Arabidopsis thaliana: one gene and its partner. The protein of the gene in region 1 interacts with the protein of each later gene in a pairwise test. Each region holds a gene or a part of one and is shown in the gene's direction. Other genes may lie near its edges.

Evidence for each region. The genes of interacting proteins can lie anywhere in the genome.
Region 2: the proteins of PTR2 (region 1) and NRAMP4 interact in a protein complementation assay, tested with the Arabidopsis thaliana proteins (one large-scale study listed by BioGRID).

Annotation. Positions count from the first base shown.
Region 1 is NC_003071.7:485,178-491,032, forward strand, and holds PTR2 (peptide transporter 2), read left to right. Parts: upstream 1-2,220; 5' UTR 2,221-2,364; coding exon 2,365-2,421; intron 2,422-2,676; coding exon 2,677-2,994; intron 2,995-3,072; coding exon 3,073-3,629; intron 3,630-3,704; coding exon 3,705-4,530; 3' UTR 4,531-4,764; downstream 4,765-5,855. Other genes in the region: AT2G02050 (NADH-ubiquinone oxidoreductase B18 subunit), read left to right, coding at 4,847-5,158. UniProt on the Arabidopsis thaliana protein: Peptide transporter. Mediates the transport of di- and tripeptides. High affinity, low capacity transporter. Can also transport histidine.
Region 2 is NC_003076.8:26,859,321-26,864,926, forward strand, and holds NRAMP4 (natural resistance associated macrophage protein 4), read left to right. Parts: upstream 1-1,945; 5' UTR 1,946-2,501; coding exon 2,502-3,025; intron 3,026-3,162; coding exon 3,163-3,299; intron 3,300-3,382; coding exon 3,383-4,260; 3' UTR 4,261-4,577; downstream 4,578-5,606. Other genes in the region: HOS15 (WD-40 repeat family protein), read left to right, coding at 319-477, 565-686, 799-873, 957-1,010, 1,106-1,179, 1,280-1,354, 1,435-1,654. UniProt on the Arabidopsis thaliana protein: Vacuolar metal transporter involved in intracellular metal homeostasis. Can transport iron (Fe), manganese (Mn) and cadmium (Cd). Regulates metal accumulation under Fe starvation.

The DNA of each region.
Region 1 (5,855 bases):
TATTGAAGCTAAAGTAAAGAGAGAACGTAAACGAAAGAGTAGAGAGAAACTAACTCAGTTAACTAATAAAACCAATTGTACAAGTAGATTGATTAATTCAAGAAAACAACTAATTTGTTAACAACTCCGTTTAACAAACTAACAAACTCACAAAACTAAAACTAAAACAAATTTGTTAAATTATTATATATTTTTAACACTTTTATGTCTTTGTAGTATATATTATTGAATTTTCTTGTCAAGTAAAGTTTTTGGATTTGTTTGGATAAAACTGGGAGTTTAGGAAAATAGAGCAAATCAGCAAAATGCATCAAATGAAAAAAGATTGAAGATCACGACCGACCTTGACAATCGTAAGAGTCAGTACATAAGATGTCCAGAACTGATCGGTTACATACTTGTACCGATCATTATAAAAAATGTTTCTTAGTTTAGGATTCCGACTCATTGCATATAAATTCTTAACACTTTGTAATCGTATAGGCAGATTGTTTTGTTTTTTTTTCTGTGATTATCTAGTTTTTCTATATAAAATTTTATAAACAAAATGATCGTTTGAAGAATTAGAGCATATTTGTCATTTGTTATTTTGACTAATCCATCTCCATTCAAATTGTCCAATTATGTTTAGTCAAATGAGTTTGAAAATTTTGCCTAATTTAATCATCCAAATGAGCAAAAGAATAAAGCCACACATTACTTACTAATAATATTAAAGCCCACATTAAAATAATTTCTCACGTAAAAAACAAATACTTACACAAACCTATATAATCTAGACTCTACTTCACTTGTTTGCCCTAAACCATCTATCATCTCTCTTTCAATTCATCTACACCTTATTTTTATATTTCTCAAATACTTTTCGAGAAAATTATATACCCTTTTTAATATACGACGAATGAAATCGCAGGAAGATAATCTTCTACTTGTTCTTCTACTCGAGGGGATAAAAAATTACGGACTTAAGAGATGGGATAAGATACTAGCATCACTTCTTCTATCCCAGCGAAGTATCGCTAAATGTAAAAAAAAATTCTAATCTTTCGTTAAACGAAAGGTAAATTATTTTCTCGAAAAAATTTGTGTATAGAATTAAAGGTTTTCTTTAGTCAATAGCTAATCAATCTTATCATTTATTTTCTACTAGTTTCTTATTTGCACAATACATTTGAGAAAATTATGTTATGTTTTCAAGAGTTTTGGGTTTTTGTAGAGTATTAGATAAAATCAATATTTTCTCTCTTGAGACTAGTTTCTTCTTTGCACCATACATTTGTGTTCTTTTTCATTTTCTCAAAGCTGTTTGTTTTACCGAATTTTCTCTTGGGTTGTGGAGAATATTTTTTTTTTTTAGTTTTTATAACACCTTATCTTATATAAAAACAAAAGAGTTTGTTTTTACAAGGGATGATGGATGATGAATCTATAGATGGTCGTAGTACCACACTCTCTATGGACTCAAGTTGTGGAGAATCTTTTTTTTTTTAGTTTTTATAACACCTTATTTGATATAGAAACAAATGATTTTGTTCTTACAAGAGATGATGGATGATGAATCTATAGATGGTCGTACCACATTCTCTATGCACCCTATGAATCAAGTTGTGGAATCAATCAAAGTTGGCCACATATAGTTATGAAATGATTTTGTGATAAAAACACAAATTAATTTCTATGTGAATCACAAAGAAAATATATATATATATATATAATTCCCATTTGAAGTTTAAGCACAGACCTTAGAAAAATATGTAAACAAAGCCGATGTCTATAGTCCAATAAAAACAAATTTCGCCGGGAAAAGGAATATAAAAAATTTGTCACATTTACCAAAAAATAATAGGAGAGTTTATATAGTTTCAACGTACAATTAATGATCTAGGTTATCGAGTTTTAATTTCCATTTCTCCTAATTTTGCTGACTTGAGCTACATATTATTGAGCATTCTTGTTCTTTCAGGGTTTATAGAGAGATTGGCTGATAATTACTGTTTGTTATCTGAGTCCCCAAACGATTTACTGATATCAACAACGTATTGATGATGTATTGTTTTAGAAACACATATATGTAAAAAAAAAATTCTTGATTAGAGTGATATCAACAACTTGAGACATGGACAGGTAACAGGTTGATCCACAATTCTATCTTTACGTCATAATAATAACAAAAAATTCGTAAAAAGATGAGTTTTGTTAATTACTTCTCTTATTATAATCAAAGTTTTGATTTTTATTTTCCAATAAGTCGCCGGGAAAAGTAAAATAAAAAGCCGTCACGTCTCCGATAAATAATAGAGTATCGTTAGATAGGTAGCTTCAACGTAAGGAATCTAAATTGGTTCAGCTCAAAAAACGAAAACGATGGGTTCCATCGAAGAAGAAGCAAGACCTCTCATCGAAGAAGGTTTAATTTTACAGGTTTGTTCAATTTCAATTAATCACTTAGGTTAGCGAATTTTGATTTTACTCAATTCCAAAATCTTGACTTTAGATTGATCTTATGCATTTTCTTTCTGGGTTTATTGAGATCTTTTCTGGGCAATCACTGTTTTATCTAATTGATGATTCCAATGTTTGAATTTTGCAAGTAGATATAGATCAAAGTTTCGAGCTTTGATACAGTTATAGTTTAGTTAGCTAATCAAAAATGTTTTGTGAATTTGTTTTAAGTAGGAAGTGAAATTGTATGCTGAAGATGGTTCAGTGGACTTTAATGGAAACCCACCATTGAAGGAGAAAACAGGAAACTGGAAAGCTTGTCCTTTTATTCTTGGTAATGAATGTTGTGAGAGGCTAGCTTACTATGGTATTGCTGGGAATTTAATCACTTACCTCACCACTAAGCTTCACCAAGGAAATGTTTCTGCTGCTACAAACGTTACCACATGGCAAGGGACTTGTTATCTCACTCCTCTCATTGGAGCTGTTCTGGCTGATGCTTACTGGGGACGTTACTGGACCATCGCTTGTTTCTCCGGGATTTATTTCATCGTAAGCATTGCTTCTCTGTGTAATGTTTGGTTTGGTTTGTTTGCTCCTGATTACTGATAGGTTTTTGTATTTGTTTAGGGGATGTCTGCGTTAACTCTTTCAGCTTCAGTTCCGGCATTGAAGCCAGCGGAATGTATTGGTGACTTTTGTCCATCTGCAACGCCAGCTCAGTATGCGATGTTCTTTGGTGGGCTTTACCTGATCGCTCTTGGAACTGGAGGTATCAAACCGTGTGTCTCATCCTTCGGTGCCGATCAGTTTGATGACACGGACTCTCGGGAACGAGTTAGAAAAGCTTCGTTCTTTAACTGGTTTTACTTCTCCATCAATATTGGAGCACTTGTGTCATCTAGTCTTCTAGTTTGGATTCAAGAGAATCGCGGGTGGGGTTTAGGGTTTGGGATACCAACAGTGTTCATGGGACTAGCCATTGCAAGTTTCTTCTTTGGCACACCTCTTTATAGGTTTCAGAAACCTGGAGGAAGCCCTATAACTCGGATTTCCCAAGTCGTGGTTGCTTCGTTCCGGAAATCGTCTGTCAAAGTCCCTGAAGACGCCACACTTCTGTATGAAACTCAAGACAAGAACTCTGCTATTGCTGGAAGTAGAAAAATCGAGCATACCGATGATTGCCAGTAAATATCCGCTTCATTGCTTTCCAGTAATGTATAGCTTTACTTGGTTTAACAAGTTATTCTGGTATGATGCAGGTATCTTGACAAAGCCGCTGTTATCTCAGAAGAAGAATCGAAATCCGGAGATTATTCCAACTCGTGGAGACTATGCACGGTTACGCAAGTCGAAGAACTCAAGATTCTGATCCGAATGTTCCCAATCTGGGCTTCTGGTATCATTTTCTCAGCTGTATACGCACAAATGTCCACAATGTTTGTTCAACAAGGCCGAGCCATGAACTGCAAAATTGGATCATTCCAGCTTCCTCCTGCAGCACTCGGGACATTCGACACAGCAAGCGTCATCATCTGGGTGCCGCTCTACGACCGGTTCATCGTTCCCTTAGCAAGAAAGTTCACAGGAGTAGACAAAGGATTCACTGAGATACAAAGAATGGGAATTGGTCTGTTTGTCTCTGTTCTCTGTATGGCAGCTGCAGCTATCGTCGAAATCATCCGTCTCCATATGGCCAACGATCTTGGATTAGTCGAGTCAGGAGCCCCAGTTCCCATATCCGTCTTGTGGCAGATTCCACAGTACTTCATTCTCGGTGCAGCCGAAGTATTCTACTTCATCGGTCAGCTCGAGTTCTTCTACGACCAATCTCCAGATGCAATGAGAAGCTTGTGCAGTGCCTTGGCTCTTTTGACCAATGCACTTGGTAACTACTTGAGCTCGTTGATCCTCACGCTCGTGACTTATTTTACAACAAGAAATGGGCAAGAAGGTTGGATTTCGGATAATCTCAATTCAGGTCATCTCGATTACTTCTTCTGGCTCTTGGCTGGTCTTAGCCTTGTGAACATGGCGGTTTACTTCTTCTCTGCTGCTAGGTATAAGCAAAAGAAAGCTTCGTCGTAGTAATGCTGTTATCTATCTACTTTCATTACATACAAAAGTTTGTTTCTTTCAACTGTAACTGTCTCTGTATCAATAACAACATTGCTGTGTACTTTTCCTTTCAATTTCAAAAGTTTAAGTCGCATTTGCAATATTATAAACAATTCAGGGTTCGAATACTAAATTGAGAGAAATTGTCCATAGGCTTAGTAAATCAAATGGGCTTTTGGCCCATATCAAACGGGCACAAATATGACCCGGAGAAGAAGAATGTTCCGGGTCAATAAAATCGAAGAAGAAGAAGAGAGTATCGTTGTGAGGTTTGGGGATCGCGAAAATGGAGGTTCCAGGTTCATCGAAGAAGATGATCGCAACGCAAGAAGAGATGTCTGCAGCTAAAATAGCACTTGGATCTAGAGATATGTGCGCTCATCTCTTGATTCCGCTCAACAAATGTCGTCAGGCTGAGTTTTACCTTCCATGGAAATGTGAAGACGAGCGTCACGTTTATGAGAAGTGTGAATACGAGCTTGTTATGGAGAGAATGCTTGCGATGAAGAAGATCCGTGAAGAAGAAGCTTTGGCTAAACAGAATAAACTACAAGGAAACGCTGCTGTTCCTCTTATCCCTAAAACTGCTAATGCTTAGGATTCGATTCCTTCTCCAATTTGCCGATTCCAGATTCCGGTTAGTCTATAGTTTTTCGATTTCTTGTGTTTTGGTTGATTTGATTGAATTGGTTTGTTTCTTCTGCTACATGATCAGATCTTCGTGTTCTTCAAATTCCAAATTAGGGTTTCATTGGGAATAAATGAGATTGCTTGTTCAATTAGATGTCTAATGCATTATCTTGGTTTTGAATTGTGAATTCTCTCGTCTTAGCAATTTTGTTGCCTCTGTTGTGAACATTTGACTACAATTGGATTCAATTTCTCTTAGACTGCAATCACAATTGTTCTGTATCAATCATGTTAGAGAAATGTCTGGACTTTGTACTTCTTGTTGTAAAGTATCTCAATGATATCTGAAGTTTGGATAAGGAAAATTCCATCATTGACTGGATTTTCTACAGATTTTGTTTTTTCATGATGTTTCCTTTTCAAAGCTTAATAGATAAGTCTTTAAGTAATCAGTAGCACTAATTTGCTGGAACCTTTAGACTATATAAGGATTTAAGTGTGTTTTACTGATTAACAGGACACAATTCAATTCGTTAGACTATATCTTTTATGTTTGCAAGTTATATGTTCGATGAACTTGTAAATAGTGTCTCAGATATCATGACTAGCAATTGTTACAGTGACTTTGTGTTACAGACCCGTAGAGGATATAAGAGTGTTTCACT
Region 2 (5,606 bases), on another chromosome or scaffold:
CACTAGCATCTCTATTTTCTTGAAATTAATCTTATTTTTACTATGAATCAATGAATATGCTTAGTTATTTATGCCTAAATTAATATCTCTATGTTTCCTTCTAGCGTGAGCTACAAATTGTGATGTTCGAGTTGTGTGGGCTTTTGATAGTAACACGACACAAGATTGAAACAATAAAAGCTATCAGCTAGTAAAAAACATTATAACTCTGCATTGGGTATCATATCCTTGGCCAAAAACATTTACTCCACCTTCTGTTATGTATTGGAGAGTCAGCTTCTAAATTACAAATTACGTCTTTCTTTTTCACATTTCCAGGTGAACTGATAAGTACTCTTAGCAAACACAAGGGACCTATTTTTTCCCTTAAGTGGAACAAGAAGGGGGACTATCTTCTAACCGGTAGTGTTGATAGAACTGCTGTTGTTTGGGACGTAAAGGCAGAGGAGTGGAAGCAACAATTTGAATTTCATTCAGGTGCAATTTTATTTCTTTTTTGATTAAACATCAATTTGAATCAATTTCTCATGCATATGACATGGAATGAATTTTTTTTGAAAATAGGTCCAACACTTGATGTTGATTGGCGCAACAATGTATCTTTTGCAACGAGTTCCACGGACAGCATGATCTACTTATGTAAGATTGGAGAAACTAGGCCTGCCAAAACCTTTACTGGGCATCAGGTTTGTATCTGTCATCCAAGTTTCTCCCATATCGTATCAGTATGTTTAGTTTTCTCAGTCGCAAGTAACAAATGTCTGGTACTAACCAAACCCATGGCTTCCATAATGGCAGGGTGAGGTCAACTGTGTGAAATGGGATCCTACTGGTTCATTATTGGCCTCATGCTCAGATGATAGTACTGCTAAGGTTCTTTGAATTAACTTGAGCATATTCTACATTTCTTTAAGTTTCTCTCTGCCTCTTTTTATAAATGTATATTTTTTCTTCAGATATGGAATATAAAACAAAGCACCTTTGTTCATGACCTCCGAGAGCATACTAAGGTAAATCCATAAATCCTCAAAAGTCTTAAGGAAATTTCAAATATATTTTTGGATTTTGAATAGCCTCTAAAGATGGATATTAATCTTCTCTTTAGGAAATTTATACAATCAGATGGAGCCCTACAGGACCAGGAACTAACAATCCTAACAAACAGCTAACTCTTGCAAGGTTACAACACGCTTTAAACATTGAATACTTTAAAAACAAAGCGTCATTGTAACATATCATTCATCATCTCTGTGTTGTTGTTGTTGTTTGAATGGAACAGTGCATCATTTGACTCAACAGTAAAGCTATGGGATGCAGAACTCGGGAAGATGCTCTGTAGTTTCAATGGACACAGGTAAAAGTTAAACCTCAATGTACTTTTGCGGGGTTTAGCTGTAAACCGTTGGTTATAAGTTTCGTTGTTGTGATATGAAGGGAACCGGTTTACTCACTGGCGTTTAGTCCAAACGGGGAGTACATAGCGAGTGGGTCTTTGGACAAATCGATACACATATGGTCGATTAAAGAAGGTAAAATCGTAAAGACATACACAGGAAATGGAGGGATATTCGAAGTGTGTTGGAACAAAGAAGGTAACAAAATCGCAGCTTGCTTCGCTGATAACTCAGTTTGCGTTCTTGATTTCAGAATGTAGTTTTCTTAATTGTAGTCCTAATAACACTCTCTCAGTCCAAGGTGTTTCTTTTTGTTGTTGCACATATCTATAAGTTATAACACTAAATTCGAAAGATGAAACTGTACTTGAGATTATTTTTGTTATTTTATCTATCATTGCAACTTTTGGGTTGACTGACGAGTAACAATGAATTGAAAGAAAACAAACTGCATAAGATTACAAGGGTTACTACATCCATATCTTTGAATTTAGACCACAAAGCTAGATTTGAATTGAAAGTGATGTAATGCAATTGAGATATGAGGACATCAACTATGAAGGTGTCTTTATGTAGTAGTAGTAAACCGTTGGGTGAAACAGTGAAAGTGGATGATGGCGCGTGGCGAGAGCTGACGGATTCGTGTAACCCCCAGGCCAAACACGTTTCTACTTCTACTTAACCCATTCCCTTTATTTATTTTTGTTTCTGTTCACCACGTCGCATTTTTTAATCTGTAATCATCACCATTAATATGGTCGACCAAACTAGTAATTTCCTTGAGCACCATACTTTTGTGTGAGGATAATGAGACTCCCAAGAAGAAGACTCGATAATCCCCAAGTTACACGTTCTCTCGACTTATTGACAAATCTATCCCTGCGCTTATTTACCATTCACATATACTGCCACTTCTTATTCTGACGTGGCGTAATAGTATTGGATAAAACGGTATTATCTACCCCTAAGTCGATTATAGTATATATATAAAGCAACAAAGCAGTTGCAAATTTCAAGATAGTCGTCACTTTAGTCGCAGCACCACCACCAATTTCGAATTTAGCATTTCTGAATTCCGACTCTGAGAATCGGCGGTTACCGGGAAATATGTCGGAGACTGATAGAGAGCGTCCGTTATTAGCATCGGAGGAGAGAGCTTATGAAGAAACCGAGAAAGTTCTCATAGTCGGAATCGACGAAGAAGAAGACGCTGATTACGACGATGACCCCGGAAACTCTCCTAAATTCTCATGGAAGAAGCTTTGGCTATTCACTGGACCTGGTTTTCTGATGAGTATCGCTTTCCTCGATCCAGGTAATCTCGAGAGCGATCTTCAAGCTGGAGCCATCGCTGGTTACTCTTTGATTTGGCTATTGATGTGGGCTACGGCGATTGGGCTTCTGATTCAACTTCTATCTGCCCGTCTCGGTGTGGCGACGGGTAGACATCTGGCGGAGTTGTGTCGAGAAGAGTATCCGACTTGGGCAAGGATGGTGCTTTGGATTATGGCGGAGATTGCTTTGATCGGAGCTGATATTCAGGAAGTTATTGGTAGTGCTATAGCTATCAAGATCTTGTCTAATGGATTGGTTCCTCTTTGGGCTGGTGTTGTTATCACTGCTCTTGATTGGTAAGTGTTTTTTTTTTTCTCAATTTGGTTATTGATTTAGGAAAAACCCTAATTTTTGGAATTTAGGGTTCTTTATTATTGTTTGTTTGGTATCTTTAGTTTTGATCCTAACATTGTGTGTGATGGGTTAATTGCAGTTTCATCTTTCTATTTTTGGAGAATTATGGAATAAGGAAACTAGAAGCTGTGTTTGCTATTTTGATTGCAACAATGGCTCTTGCATTTGCTTGGATGTTTGGTCAGACGAAACCCAGTGGAACTGAGCTCCTTGTTGGTGAGACTCTAAATATTCCTTTCTTTTGTCTAGTGTGTGGAGATGGGAGTACAAAAATGGTAACTGTTCATGTTTTTTAACAGGAGCATTGGTCCCTAAGCTTAGCTCCAGGACTATCAAACAAGCTGTTGGTATTGTGGGATGTATTATCATGCCTCACAATGTGTTCTTGCATTCAGCACTTGTGCAATCCAGAGAAGTCGATCCGAAAAAGAGATTCCGGGTCAAAGAAGCTCTCAAGTACTACTCCATTGAATCCACTGGTGCTCTTGCGGTTTCTTTCATTATCAACGTCTTTGTGACCACGGTGTTTGCCAAGTCGTTTTACGGGACAGAGATAGCGGACACCATCGGTCTTGCAAATGCTGGACAGTACTTACAGGACAAATACGGGGGTGGGTTTTTCCCGATACTGTATATATGGGCGATTGGAGTCTTAGCTGCTGGTCAGAGTAGTACCATCACAGGTACGTACGCCGGACAGTTTATAATGGGAGGGTTCTTGAATCTCAAGATGAAGAAATGGGTTAGAGCCTTGATCACAAGAAGCTGTGCAATCATACCAACAATGATCGTGGCGCTTGTCTTTGATTCATCGGATTCTATGCTTGATGAGCTCAACGAATGGCTAAACGTTCTTCAATCGGTTCAGATCCCTTTCGCTGTGATCCCACTCCTTTGCTTGGTCTCCAATGAGCAAATCATGGGCAGTTTCAAAATTCAACCTTTAGTCCAAACAATCTCATGGATAGTAGCTGCTCTTGTGATAGCCATTAATGGGTATCTAATGGTGGATTTCTTCTCAGGAGCTGCAACGAATTTGATTTTGCTTGTGCCAGTGATCATATTCGCAATTGCTTATGTTGTGTTTGTACTTTACCTTATCTCACGAGGACTCACGTACACTCCTTGGCAACTAGTGGCTTCTTCACATAAAGAACCACAGAGGGATGATGAGTGAGTAAAGGAAAAGCAAAGAGACCTTTTCATTGAAGAATAAGAATAAGAGAGATTGCTCTTTTTAGTGAAACAAACAATAGAAAGTTGAGTTTCAGTATGGTAACAAAACAATGTCCTGATGTATTTGTATTATAGTGTTTTATGGTTTTTAGAGTATAGCTTTGGAAGAATCCGAATCGTATCGTTTGTGTAAAACTTCCGGCGTTTCTTAGAATTTTGGCAGAAATAAAACGTAAACATGAAGTTCCTTCTTCAGATGTGCGTTATTTCATTTTCTTTTAGATAGATTTTTTTTTTTTGGGTTTAAGTATATAAGTTAAAAAAAAAATCTTAATATTTATACATTTAGATATCTTGATGTTTTTCAAAGTAATAACGTGAACTCTGGTTTTGAATTTCTTAGAGAAAAAAAAAATGGTCAAAAATGGGGAAGAAATGGTCAAAGATTAATGGAAACGCGCTCGCATTTAATTTGATGTTTAAAGGTCACAAACAATGTTTAGTCGTTTAGGGGAAATTCATGCACAATTTCTTTGATGCCACGATAAGCTTTGATTGCAAATTTAAGTTAAAAAAAATTCTGGAAGCTAGTTTTATCATTTGATAATGAAAATTTCCTGGCAAACGAGAGTCGAGTCGAGTCGAGGTATTTAAATACATCACGTAAGTTTCGTTAACTGCCCCAAATTAAATTAAAAACACAGGAGCAGCTTCTCCTAATCCAAAATCCAAAAAAACAAACATCAAAAAGTCAAAAATTAAAATATTTAAATACATAACCTACCTAACAAGGTTTGACGCAAAACCCGCCACGAGTCTAACGCATTTATTAAGAGAAAGTATGCACCAAAAATATCGTTATTAATTGACTAAGTAGACCGATAAAACTTTATTTAAGAGATTAATGGAGCTCATAATAAATAGCAACAAAAATCTTTGACGATGAATGATTTGGTCTTACCGCGCTTCCACGGTTCTAATCTTCGTCGTCCTCTCTGATAAAGAGACAGAGAGAGAGAGAGAGCTGAAACTGCCATTTCCGCAAGGTAATTCATCATTCTTCTGTAGTCTTAAGCTTTGTTCCCGTTCCATATATCTCTGTTTTTAGAAAGTTGTTTCTGCAGATTCCAAGTTGTGTAGAGTTCGCTTAATTTCCTCAGCAATGAATCTTTTTCGTTTTCTTTGTTCGATTCAGAGTTTTTTTTATTGGGGTTTTATTATGTTGACTCGAGGGTTGACTAAGCATCAGATTCTGTCCTCAGCTTTATGATATTGGTTACAATTATATTCGTTGAATTTTCAGCTTAGCTTTGAATGTCCTAAACTTGTTCTTACTTGGTGTTCTTG